2 linked regions of the Xenopus tropicalis genome follow. Each later gene encodes a partner of the first gene's protein in a complex. Links are inferred from orthologs where the notes say so. Each region holds a gene or a part of one and is shown on either strand. Other genes may lie near its edges.

Region 1 (5,888 bases):
CAGGAACCTTTTACACTTTGCAAAAAATGGTAATAAACCAATCACTTGTACCTGCTAGCCACTTTTGCTCTGTAAATGTTTTGAGGGCCAGAGAGAAGGCCTGCAAAAAGGCACTGCCTTCTCACATAATATGTAATAATAAAAGAGATTGTAAAGATCTTCTACAGTTCTTTTTTTCCCGTTGATCCTCCGTCAGTGTTTCGGCTGTATAACAACAAATAAATCCAAAATGATAACTCCAAGATTGTAATTTAGTGTTGTCATTCCCAGAGACAATTACCACACAGATTTAAAAAAAAAAAAAAAAAAAAATAAAATTATATATATATATATATATACACACACACACATATACATACACACACACAAAATACATATATGTAATACAATATCAATAAAATATATATATATATATATATATATATATATATATATGTGTGTGTGTGTGTGTGTGTGTGTGCCATATTTAAAAACTTAGCATATTATTATTATAAGTATATAAGTTAGTTTTCTGACCAATGTGGCAGGCAGCACATCATATCCAGGGGGGCCACAAGCAGAGACACAAAGAGAAAGAACACTGACCATAAAACTTACTAAATTCCCTCCTTTTCATGCAGACTATAAAATGCAATACTTTTTTTATGGCCACCATGCCTGCTTTTTTTTTTTTTTACTATTCTGCTGGACCAACATGTGATAATCAGACCCTGTAAGAAAATTGGCTTAAGTTATACACAAAGCTTTTCCAACTATTGGTCTGGGGGTAGGCATTTCTCCTATTAAAGGATTGGCTGAGGTCTGCTGGGAGATGAGCACATCCGCAGTGAAGGCTGATTGCGCAAATAATTTTTGTATGCATGCAACTGATAGTGAAACCTAAACATAAGGATATTTATAGGAACATCAATTTAATATCAACAAAATCATCATACACATACATATTTGCAATAGTAAAAATAATATACATGGCACTTACCTATTCCAAAAAAGATAGACTAATCAGACTATTATAAGCGTAATAAGTACAATGACCCTCAAAAGATTTTTTTTAATATTGGGACATTCTATGCAATTCTTCTGCTTTTTATATTCTGACTTTTCAATTGTTGATATTAAATTGATACTGAGGCCCTGGCTGCCTTTTCCGATATCACAAATGAACAACCATCTGGCCAGGACTCAGGTTCCCTAACTGGGACAATATTTTTTTGAATCCATAACCTTATTATAGGCTAAGAGAGAGTCCTGTTCTAATGACTGCAAAGTGGGACCTAAAAACTAAATTCTGAAAGCCTCTGGGCTAAGGATGCAGAGCAGCAGCAGCAGCAGATTTCCAACCTGGATGCAGGCACAATTTCACCTACAGCCTGCAGTTGTACAATAGCGACACAAGGGCCACCTCATTGTGCCCAAAGGGAGCCAGGTTCATTCTCCTTGTACAGTGACGCACGTTGATAAAAAGCAGAATGTTGGAGACAGCTCAGTACAGACAAACATTCTCTTTATTAAGCTACACACGAGTTTCCATTAGTTACGAGAGTCGCTGGCAGCACCAAACTGAGCGCTCGGCAATACAAAGAACACACTCCAGCTTCATTTCTCGCTCATTTATTGATTGATTTTTCATTTTTTTTCTTTAACATTTGTGACCGCTCTTCTTCAATTCGCAAGTGAAATGGTGAAGAAGTCTGAGTTCTAATCAAAGTAGAAATGGCAAAGGTTTGGTCATGAAAATTGTGGATTTAATGTAAACACTACATTCGATTAAATTAGTTTTTTTTGTTTTGTTTTTTTCTTTTTTTTTTCTTTTTTGATGTTTTTTGTGTTTTTTTTCTCAGCACAAACATCCCACATGAGAGGAAAACACCATTCACTATAAGATGGAAAGGATGGGGGGTGGGGCGGGAGAGAAGCAGCACAAAGCATTCACTTAGGAAAGTAAAACAAGATTGAAAGTAAAGAAGCCTATCAGTTTGGAAATACACAGAATTCAGAGCAAAAATTGAAGAGGGGAATTATTTCAGCAGCTGGAGGTCAGTGAGAGCTGTGCTTTTTCTATACAAATCCAAAGAGTGCATGGTACACAGTTCAGAGTAAGGGAATCCAATCAGAAATCAGATCTGTACATTAAATATCTTGGAAAATTCTTTTTTTTCTCCATTCAAATGATAATTTTATTCCACCTAGTCCAACAGAAATAACCCCAATCAAACCCCCCAAAAAACAGATTTATATAAACCCATTTCTTTGCTGGAGGCCATGTTGGCTTCTCTGGCAGTGATGGGGTTGGAAAGGATAAAGGAGATGCTTCTTTACAAGTTGGTGCAAGAAAATGGTAGTAAGAATAATAAGAAGAATAAGAATAAGGGAGGTGTCTTTAAGCTACAAGCACGTGGGAAAAAAAGAACAGTTTTGTTTCTTCTAAATGTACAGACTTAGCTAAACCAGATTTACAGCATCCTATGCAGCCACTAATCCAGTGATAACATTACACATCAACTTTAAGGAAGGCTGTGTTTTTACAAAGGCCAAAGGTCATGCTACCTGCAGATCATCAATTTGAGGGTCCGTAAAGTAGTGCGGAGTAGGAGGGGACAGCGGGGTATGAAACCCCCTAAAAACTGTAGACTGTGCCCCCTGCTCTGCAGTTTGGGTTGGCACTGATACCTTTATCATAAAACGGGGGCCCGCTACATTGTGTTGTTCAGACTAGCTGGGCCTCCCAGAATCCCTCTCAGACCCTCTTACAGCAACAGCACCCACAAAAGCTGAGCACATTGTCCTGCGAGTCTCACAAACACTTCTACCTGGTTAAGAAATTGGAGGGGAATTTTTTTTTTTTGTTTTAACCGAAGAGCTGAACAGAAGAGATAAACCTGAAGGTTCGCTTGGGTCCTGTTTGTGTGAAACTGATCGCAACACACATATCTTAAAAGATTAAAATATATTATATTCCCTTTATCAAATAAGTCCTACACTATCTTTCAGTCCTGGAAAGAACAGTCATGGGTTACATGAGTTGCAGAAGTTCCAGCACTGAAAGGGTTAGGCAGATTGGGACCTACAGAGAATCCTTAAAAATGAGGAAACTCGATTATTTTGGATAAGGGCTGTCAGGAATCTATTCTGTTGACAGCTCTTTGAGACAAACTAAAAAGATTGGTTATATATATATATATATTTATATATATATAAATGTTTATTTTTGTTTTGCCTTCTGTTTACCAAGTTGCATTTTTTTATCGCCAGAAGATAAATTGCTATACAGAGAAAATCAGTACAAGCCGCAGCCTCTGAGGTTGTTGGCAATGATGATGTCAGTGACGGCATCGAATACCACCTGGATATTATTCGTATCTGTGGCGCAAGTCATGTGACAATAAATCTCCTTATTGGGAGAGCGGTTCTTGCTTTCAAATTGTGCTTGGATATAAGCAGCAGCATCTTCATAGGTGTTAGGACCTAATGAACAGACAAAAAAGGCATAAAAAACAATGAGGACATGTGAGACAATAAATATGAAAAAAGCAAATCTAAAGGTAACTAAAACCCCACTAACAAAAGATCAAGTGCACCAAATGATTGGCTACTGTACCAGCCTTGAGGTAAAGCAGCACTAGAGAAGTGATCATTACAGCTGCTGGAGATGCACTTTGCACATCTTTTTCCAAATTTTCCATTTTCAAAATGATCTATATCAGAGGCCCTGCTGTTTTTTTGTACAGGAAACTCATTTTGCCTTTAAATATTCCCTGTCTGTGCACATGAATTTGCAATAAATATACTGGGGCACAACTGCAACCACAGTTACACAAAAATGTAATTGCTCAATGTTATGGCATTTATTAAAGGTATGTGTGTCCAAAACTGCATTTAGCACTGTCACACTGTTGCATATAGCACTGCTGCATCCATCCTGCCTCCTGTTGTGAATTTTGTGCCTACTAATGCTGGGAAACCCTAGAGCAGGCATGCCCAACCTTTTATAACCGTGAGCCACATTCAAATGGAAAAGGATTTGGAGAGCAACACATGCATGAAAAAGGGTTCTGGGTGTGCCTATTAACCAAATCCAGCAGCAAGACTGGGCAGCAGTGCTACCCATTAAACCAATGTGATGAGAAGAGGCAACATGGACACAATGACAGCCATATGGCAGTGCAGGAGCATGTTGTTTGGACACACAGAATTGCACCAATACACACGCACACACAAGCATTTTTTTTTCAAATGCATAAGTTTTGTTGCAGTGAAAAAGAATTGAACAACAAATTTACCAGAATGTTTAAAATACACAACAAATACAAAACAATCTCAATTCGATAACTCTGGAAATGTTGAAGCAAAAAAATGTGATTATGTTTTTTTGCCACGACTTTTTAAAACAAAAATGTATACTCTTTTTGGAGCCCATACAGTTTAATATATGTAGAAAAGTTGCATAAATACCATGTGAACTTCCAGAAAAAAGTTTTTTTTTTCTACACAAACATACCTTATTCCACAGACCAAAAGAAAACTATGATAATTTCACATCATCATTCACACAATCTAACCCAACCTCTACCATACCTTGTTCTATATGTTCTTTGAATTTCCTTTGTTTCCAGAGAATCAGTGCACCACCCGCTATGGAAAGCAGAGGGATACGGATGGGGCTGCATTACTGTCTATATAAACAGGTAACCTACCAATGGGTTCCTTTCCTGAAGTATCAGGTATGTTTGTGTAGAAAAAAAAAACCATTTATACAATGTTGTATTTAATTCTGGAAGTTCTGAAAGTGTCTATGTACTTTTTCTACATAAGCCCAGCTGAATGAGCTCATGTCAAAAATGGGGCCTTTTATACATAATATTATCTACTATATTATAAGGGTAAAACAGGTAATAGGGGTCATATACTATGTGCAAAGCAGCATCCAAAGCAGAATGTAAAGTGCAGAATATAGCCACAAGTCTTGGCCTGCACAGCGGCAATTCCTGTGGAAGTGCAGTGAGCGAAATGCACAATTACATGTCAGTGCTAGGATTGGCAATCAGAGCTTACTGTTCATCTGTTGATAGAGTTTTAGGGTTATGTAGGGAAGCCGTGTAACTACAGCTTTCAAGCTAGATAAACTCTATGTTTAGAAGTATGGTATAACTGCTGCTGCATTAAGTAGGGGCTAAGATACAGTTTCTATAAAGGATAGTGCCAGTGATATAGGCAGTGATCATCAGCAGGGTCAGAAGGAATGGATGTTGCAAAACATTGGAAATACTGCAACAGAACCTGCTTGTTCAGATAATCCCAAACACAAGGCAAAGTAAGATTGCAGTGTAGTGATGTGCAGCCTACCCCCACTCAACCCTAATCAACACACTCCCAACCTGGACTCGGCAAGACCTGCCCGACCCTGCTACCAGTGGTGTCATTGGGGAGGTAGGACAGACAGATGCAAGTATATAAAATTAACAAACTGCAGGAGGAGAAACAGTGGCATTCTAGTGACCCATAAACAGTGATTTGCAGGTCCCAATCTGCTTGACCTGTGGACTTCTGGCCAACACCAACATCACTTCTGCAATAGTCCAGTTACCCTATGTATTCAAGGCGGGGATTAATAACTACAAAAAATATTAGCTTCTTCATTTACGTATCTTGTGTCTCAAAAATTTTTTGCACCTTTGCAGCACTAAGCATGCTGTAAGTATATTTGAATTCCAGGCTGTGACACAACAAAACACTGAAAAGGCCAAAGGGGGTGAATGCATGTATAAGGCACTGCATCCCACACAAATCCTTTTTTTAACAGGCCACTATAACCTCACATTTTTAGCAGATATTGCCCTTAATAGGGGGTGATATCTATATTAGCACAGCCTTACTCAATTTATGGGGAG
Region 2 (6,883 bases), on another chromosome or scaffold:
CAAACTGGCATTTAGTAGACCCTCACACAACCCTAATGGGGCAGGTTGATACAATAGGATTAAGTAGAACCTACAATGTCCCAGAATGTCAAGGTGGCACACTGGTATATAAGGGTCTACACAAACCCCCATCAAGGACAGGTGGCACACTGGTATTTAGTAGACCCCACGGACCCTAGGAAAAGCAAGGTGGCACCGTGACACCCCAGCATTTAGAAGACCCCACACGGCTCTAGAGGGGCATTTAGTAGATCCCAAGCAAAGCAAAGTGGCACCATAACATTGAACCCCAAAATGGCATTTAGTAAACCCCTCACCCCTAGATGGCAGTAGACAGCACCTGGCATGTCAAGACCACAAAAAACCTCATCACGGCCATTTGGCACACAGTAGCGACCAAGCAGGGCAAGGTGGCACCCCAACACTGCCAAGGTAGCACATAGGTTTCACCAAAACCCAGTTGGGCAAGGGGGCAAACTGCAATTTAGTAAACCCCACAGAGTCCAAACAGGGCAAGGTAGAACCCAAGCACCGAATAGACTGCACCAGCATGTTGTCAAGGTAACACATAGGCTTTACAACAACCCGGGTGGGCAAGGTGGCATTTAGTAGACCCCACAGAGCCCAAGGTAGAACCCCAACACCGAATAGACTGCACTAGCATGTTGTCAAGGTTACACATAGACTTTACAACAACCCAAGTGGGCAAGGAGGCATTTAGTAGATGCCACAGAGCCCAAACAGGGCAAGGTAGAACCCCAACACCGAATAGACTGCACCAATATGTTGTCAAGGTTACACATAGACTTTACAACAACCCAAGTGGGCAAGGAGGCATTTAGTAGATGCCACAGAGCCCAAACAGGGCAAGGTAGAAGCCCAACACTGAATAGACTGCACCAGCATGTTGTCATGGTAACACATAGGCTTTACAACAACCCAGGTGGACAAGGTGGCATTTTGTAGACCCCAACAGAGCCCAAACAGGGGTAGAACCCCAGCACCGAATAGACTGCACTAGCATGTTGTCAAGGTTACACATAGGCTTTACAACAACCAAGGTGGGCAAGGTGGCATTTAGTAGACCCCACAGAGCCCAAACAGGGCAAGGTAGAACCCCGGCACCGAATAGACTGCACCAGCATGTTGTCAAGGTAACACATAGGCTTTACAACAACCCAAGTAGGCAAGGAGGCATTTAGTAGATGCCACAGAGCCCAAACAGGGCAAGGTAGAACCTCAACACCGAATAGACTGCACCAGCATGTTGTCAAGGTAACACATAGGCTTTACAACAACCCAGGTGGACAAGGTGGCATTTAGTAGACCCCACAGAAGGTAGAACCCCCGCACCAGTATGCCATGGCAACACATGGGCTTCACAACACTACAGCTGGGCAAGGTGTCAAACTGGTACTTATATAGCCCCATTGGGGTTGAACAGATTGCACCCGATTGGCACCAGTGCTTTTATAAGCAAGAAGGGACTAAATAACTTTTCCACGTCAGTAATTCCGAAGAGCGAGCCGACCGGCCGCACAATCATTTCTGCAGCCTATTGGATAACGACGCGAGACTGGGACCAGATTAAACCCTATGGTTTTGCGTCAAACTGCACTGCGCTTGGGCTATTGGGATGCAACGTAGCGCCGATTCCTGAGTCGCAATGGGAGGGAATGGGAAAGATCCCTACGAAAAAATGTTCATTTGATGGAAACAAGAAGGAATTAATCAGCTAACGGGCTCAATTTGTCTAAGGTGACGGGGGGGGGGGCAAATGAATCTCTGATGGGTGGAAAGATCACTCTCTTATGTTCTTCAGAAGCCAAATTAAAGTGATACACTCCCCCCCTTTCCTATAAATCATTCATGGGGGAAACACAGCCGGAATATTCTTTTCAAGCTTCTAATTAGGAGATCACAAACCCCAGGCTTAATTGTCCCTATATGAATCCATAGGGCGGATTTGCCTTCCTAACTACCCCTGCAGCCGCGGAACTGGGTCGCCACAAACCCCATCTCTGCCAAAGTGCTCCGGGGGGGGGGTACAGATATGTCCCTTTGTCAGATCCGTTTGTCCTTATAAAGTCACTGTGGGGAAAGATTTCCCATAAGGAGGAGGGGGGAGAGGAATCTGGGGTGAAAAATGAAGAAGAAGGGGGGTAAAATGATGAATAAGAACAGAAAGGGAGAGTAATGGGGTAACATGGGGCAACTGGGGGGGGGGGTAAATAACAGAAACCCCAATACCTAGGATGGTAGAACCTTCATTCTAATCCACTCAAGACATTATAGAGAGAGAGAGTGAAAGAGATGGGATCCCCGGAGCCCGGATCAATAGGATGAAGAGGAGAGAAGCGAGGAGAAGCCTTCATGTTTCACGCCAGTGGCGAGGCAATACGTTACAATGATGTGTTAAACGCTCCTGGTTATTAGAAAGACTGTCGTTAGGCTGAGCTATGGGCTCCTGGGGCAAAACCAGAGCTGAGAGAGGGCTAAAACATGACTGATGGGCACGGGGGGTGAGAATGAGCCCCACTATGAGTGGTACCAAGGCACGACCCCTTCTGAAATGCCCTAATACACAAGGGTGGCACTTGGACATTAGCAGCCCTGCCGGAGCAACATGTTACAATGGTGTTTTATAGAACCTAAGCGGGGCAGGGTGGCACATTGGTAGGTAGTAGACCCCCCCAAACAGGGTAAGGTGGCACTATAGCTATGAATAGACCCCCCCCATACAGTAATGACACAGTAGGATTTAGCAGACCCCCACACAACCAAAGGCTGGGGTTAAGCAGACCCCACAAAACTGGAGCATGTAAAGAAGGCAAACTGGCATTATTGGGCAAAGCAACGTCTAGAAAAGCCCAGTGGCACACTGGCATTCATTAGACCCCACAGAGGCCAAGTAGGGCAAGGGGGTACCCTGGCACAGACTGTATCAGCATTGCAAGCTGGCACACTGGCATTAATTAGACCCCACAGAGGACAAGCAGGGCATGGTGGTACCCTGGCACAGACTGTATCAGCATTGCAAGCTGGCACACTGGCATTAATTAGACCCCACAGAGGACAAGCAGGGCATGGTGGTACCCTGGCACAGACTGTATCAGCATTGCAAGCTGGCACACTGGCATTAATTAGACCCCACAGAACCCAAGCATGGCATGGTGGTACCCTGGCACAGACAGTATCAGCATATATAGGTGGCACACTGGCATTAATGAGACCCCCTCAGAGCCCAAGCAGACAAGGGGGTACCCTGGCACAGACTGTATCAGCAGATATAGGTGGCACACTGGCATTAATGAGACCCCCACAGAGGCCAAGCAGGGCAAGGAGGTACCCTGGCACACACTGTATCAGCATAGCTAGGTGGCACACTGGCATTAATGAGACCCCACAGAGCCCAAACAGACAAGGGGGTACCCTGGCACAGACTGTATCAGCAGATATAGGTGGCACACTGGCATTAATGAGACCCCCACAGAGCCCAAGCAGGGCAAGGGGGTACCCTGGCACACAATGTATCAGCATAGCTAGGTGGCACACTGGCATTAATGAGACCCCCACAGAGCCCAAGCAGGGCAAGGGGGTACCCTGGCACACACTGTATCAGCATAGCTAGGTGGCACACTGGCATTAATGAGACCCCCACAGAGCCCAAGCAGGGCAAGGGGGTACCCTGGCACACACTGTATCAGCATAGCTAGGTGGCACACTGGCATTAATGAGACCCCCACAGAGCCCAAGCAGGGCAAGGGGGTACCCTGGCACAGACTGTATCAGCAGATCTAGGTGGCACACTGGCATTTAATGAACTGCACAAACCTCAGGTAGGATAAGGTGGCACCCTGGCATTTAGCAGAGCCCACACAGCCCCAGTGGGCAAGGGTGGCACCCTAAGCAGACTGCGCCAGCATGGGAGAGTGGCACCCTGACACCAGCAGATAAAACACTAACACAACCCAGTTGTTTGCCCAGGCTGCATGTAAATAACAGATTGGCACATAGATATATCTACTGACAGTACAGACAATAGGGCAGGGATGGTAGAGCAGCCTACCTGTGGCACAGTTGGAGCAAGTTGGCTCTCCGGCTGGCAGCTGGCACAGGCAATGCCCAGTCATGAAGCAGAGAAGCGGTACCAATCTCCCATGTCTCTCCCTAGGACAAGCAGTAGGTGGGTGCTGGGTGGCACTGAGGAACAGGCTGCTAGCAGCGGCGGGCACTGGGGGACATAGTCCTGGATGGATCCGGCTGGCACTGCCCAGAGACTGCGCTAAATGGGCACTGGGAGAGGGGGCGCCGCAGCCGCTAATTCCTCCATCTGCTTCTGTCACCTCTTGTTCAGGTGGAGCCGAGTGAGGGGAGGGGGCACCCCGGGGGTCTCCAGTCTCAGCCTCCGCTGCTGGGTGGGAGCGAATGATGGGAGTCCGTAGCGCAGCAATCGCCAAACAGACTGAGCGACTCAGCGCTGGGGGCTGGGAGCGACTCACTGATCATATGGAACTGGGGGCTGGCAGTCAGGGGCAGAGACTCGCATTGTACGGAACTGGGGGCTGGCAGTCAGGGGCAGAGACTCAGAGATACAGGGAATGGGCTGGCAGTCAGGGGCAGAGACTCTCACTCATCATATAGAGAATGGGCTAGCGGTACCGAGTCTCTCAGGGATACAGGGAATGGGTCGGGAGCAGAGAGACTCTCATGGATACAGGGAATGGGTCGGGAGCAGAGAGACTCTCATGGATACAGGGAATGGGTCGGGAGCAGAGAGACTCTCATGGATACAGGGAATGGGTCAGGAGCAGAGAGACTCTCATGGATACAGGGAATGGGTCGGGAGCAGAGAGACTCTCATGGATACAGGGAATGGGTCGGGAGCAGAGAGACTCTCATGGATACAGGGAATGGGTCGGGAGCAGAGAGACTCTCATGGATACAGGGAATGGGTCGGGAGCAGAGAGACTCTCAGGGATACAGGGAATGGGTCAGGAGCAGAGAGACTCTCATGGATACAGGAAATGGGTCGGGAGCAGAGAGACTCTCAGGGATACAGGGAATGGGTCGGGAGCAGAGAGACTCTCAGGGATACAGGGAATGGGTCGGGAGCAGAGAGACTCTCATGGATACAGGGAATGGGTCGGGAGCAGAGAGACTCTCATGGATACAGGGAATGGGTCGGGAGCAGAGAGACTCTCATGGATACAGGGAATGGGTCGGGAGCAGAGAGACTCTCATGGATACAGGGAATGGGTCGGGAGCAGAGAGACTCTCATGGATACAGGGAATGGGTCGGGAGCAGAGAGACTCTCATGGATACAGGGAATGGGTCGGGAGCAGAGAGACTCTCATGGATACAGGGAATGGGTCGGGAGCAGAGAGACTCTCATGGATACAGGGAATGGGTCGGGAGCAGAGAGACTCTCATGGATACAGGGAATGGGTCGGGAGCAGAGAGACTCTCAGGGATACAGGGAATGGGTCAGGAGCAGAGAGACTCTCATGGATACAGGGAATGGGTCGGGAGCAGAGAGACTCTCAGGGATACAGGGAATGGGTCGGGAGCAGAGAGACTCTCATGGATACAGGGAATGGGTCGGGAGCAGAGAGACTCTCATGGATACAGGGAATGGGTCGGGAGCAGAGAGACTCTCATGGATACAGGGAATGGGTCGGGAGCAGAGAGACTCTCAGGGATACAGGGAATGGGTCGGGAGCAGAGAGACTCTCAGGGATACAGGGAATGGGTCGGGAGCAGAGAGACTCTCATGGATACAGGGAATGGGTCGGGAGCAGAGAGACTCTCATGGATACAGGGAATGGGTCGGGAGCAGAGAGACTCTCATGGATACAGGGAATGGGTCGGGAGCAGAGAGACTCTCATGGATACAGGGAATGGGTCGGGAGCAGAGAGACTCTCAGGGATACAGGGAATGGGTCGGGAGCAGAGAGACTCTCATGGATACAGGGAATGGGTCGGGAGCAGAGAGACTCTCAGGGATACAGGGAATGGGTCGGGATCAGAGAGACTCTCATGGATACAGGGAATGGAGCAGAGAGACTCTCAGGGATACAGGGAATGGGTCGGGATCAGAGAGACTCTCATGGATACAGGGAATGGGTCGGGAGCAGAGAGACTCTCATGGATACAGGGAATGGGTCGGGAGCAGAGAGACTCTCATGGATACAGGGAATGGGTCGGGAGCAGAGAGACTCTCATGGATACAGGGAATGGGTCGGGAGCAGAGAGACTCTCATGGATACAGGGAATGGGTCGGGAGCAGAGAGACTCTCATGGATACAGGGAATGGGTCGGGAGCAGAGAGACTCTCAGGGATACAGGGAATGGGTCGGGATCAGAGAGACTCTCATGGATACAGGGAATGGAGCAGAGAGACTCTCAGGGATACAGGGAATGGGTCGGGAGCAGAGAGACTCTCATGGATACAGGGAATGGGTCGGGAGCAGAGAGACTCTCAGGGATACAGGGAATGGGTCGGGATCAGAGAGACTCTCATGGATACAGGGAATGGAGCAGAGAGACTCTCAGGGATACAGGGAATGGGTCGGGAGCAGAGAGACTCTCATGGATACAGGGAATGGGTCGGGAGCAGAGAGACTCTCAGGGATACAGGGAATGGGTCGGGAGCAGAGAGACTCTCATGCATACATAGCATCATTGTATGTGTGAGAGACCAGGTGTGCATGTTAGGAGGCTGTTCCTGCTGAATTGTGCTTAGTACAGGGGAATCCCTATGTGCCATAGTTTTATGGTATCTCTCTGTACAGGCTATGAGCAAACTTAGGGGGCTGTTCCTGCTGAATTGTGCTTCGTACAGGGAAATCCCTATGTGCCATAGTTTTATGGTATCTCTCT

The links.
Region 2: the proteins of gnao1 (region 1) and chrm2 are in contact, whole or in part, in a cryo-EM structure (PDB 7T8X), measured with the Homo sapiens proteins. The link is inferred for Xenopus tropicalis from reciprocal best matches to the Homo sapiens genes GNAO1 and CHRM2. Residues at the interface, in NP_066268.1 of Homo sapiens: Lys24, Ile28, Ala31, Lys32, Leu195, Tyr320, Asp337, Ala338, Thr340, Asp341, Ile343, Ala345, Asn347, Leu348, Gly350, Cys351, Gly352, Leu353, Tyr354; in NP_000730.1 of Homo sapiens: Asn58, Arg121, Cys124, Val125, Pro128, Leu129, Thr130, Pro132, Val133, Lys134, Thr136, Ile209, Ser213, Lys214, Ser215, Arg216, Ile217, Arg381, Lys384, Val385, Thr388, Ile389, Cys443.

Annotation. Positions count from the first base shown.
Region 1 is NC_030680.2:51,835,062-51,840,949, forward strand, and holds the end of gnao1 (guanine nucleotide-binding protein G(o) subunit alpha), read right to left. Parts: intron 3,466-5,888; coding exon 3,278-3,465; 3' UTR 1,786-3,277; downstream 1-1,785. UniProt on the Homo sapiens protein: Guanine nucleotide-binding proteins (G proteins) function as transducers downstream of G protein-coupled receptors (GPCRs) in numerous signaling cascades.
Region 2 is NC_030679.2:6,247,854-6,254,736, forward strand, and holds the start of chrm2 (muscarinic acetylcholine receptor M2), read right to left. Parts: upstream 4,528-6,883; 5' UTR 4,070-4,527; intron 1-4,069. UniProt on the Homo sapiens protein: The muscarinic acetylcholine receptor mediates various cellular responses, including inhibition of adenylate cyclase, breakdown of phosphoinositides and modulation of potassium channels through the action of G proteins.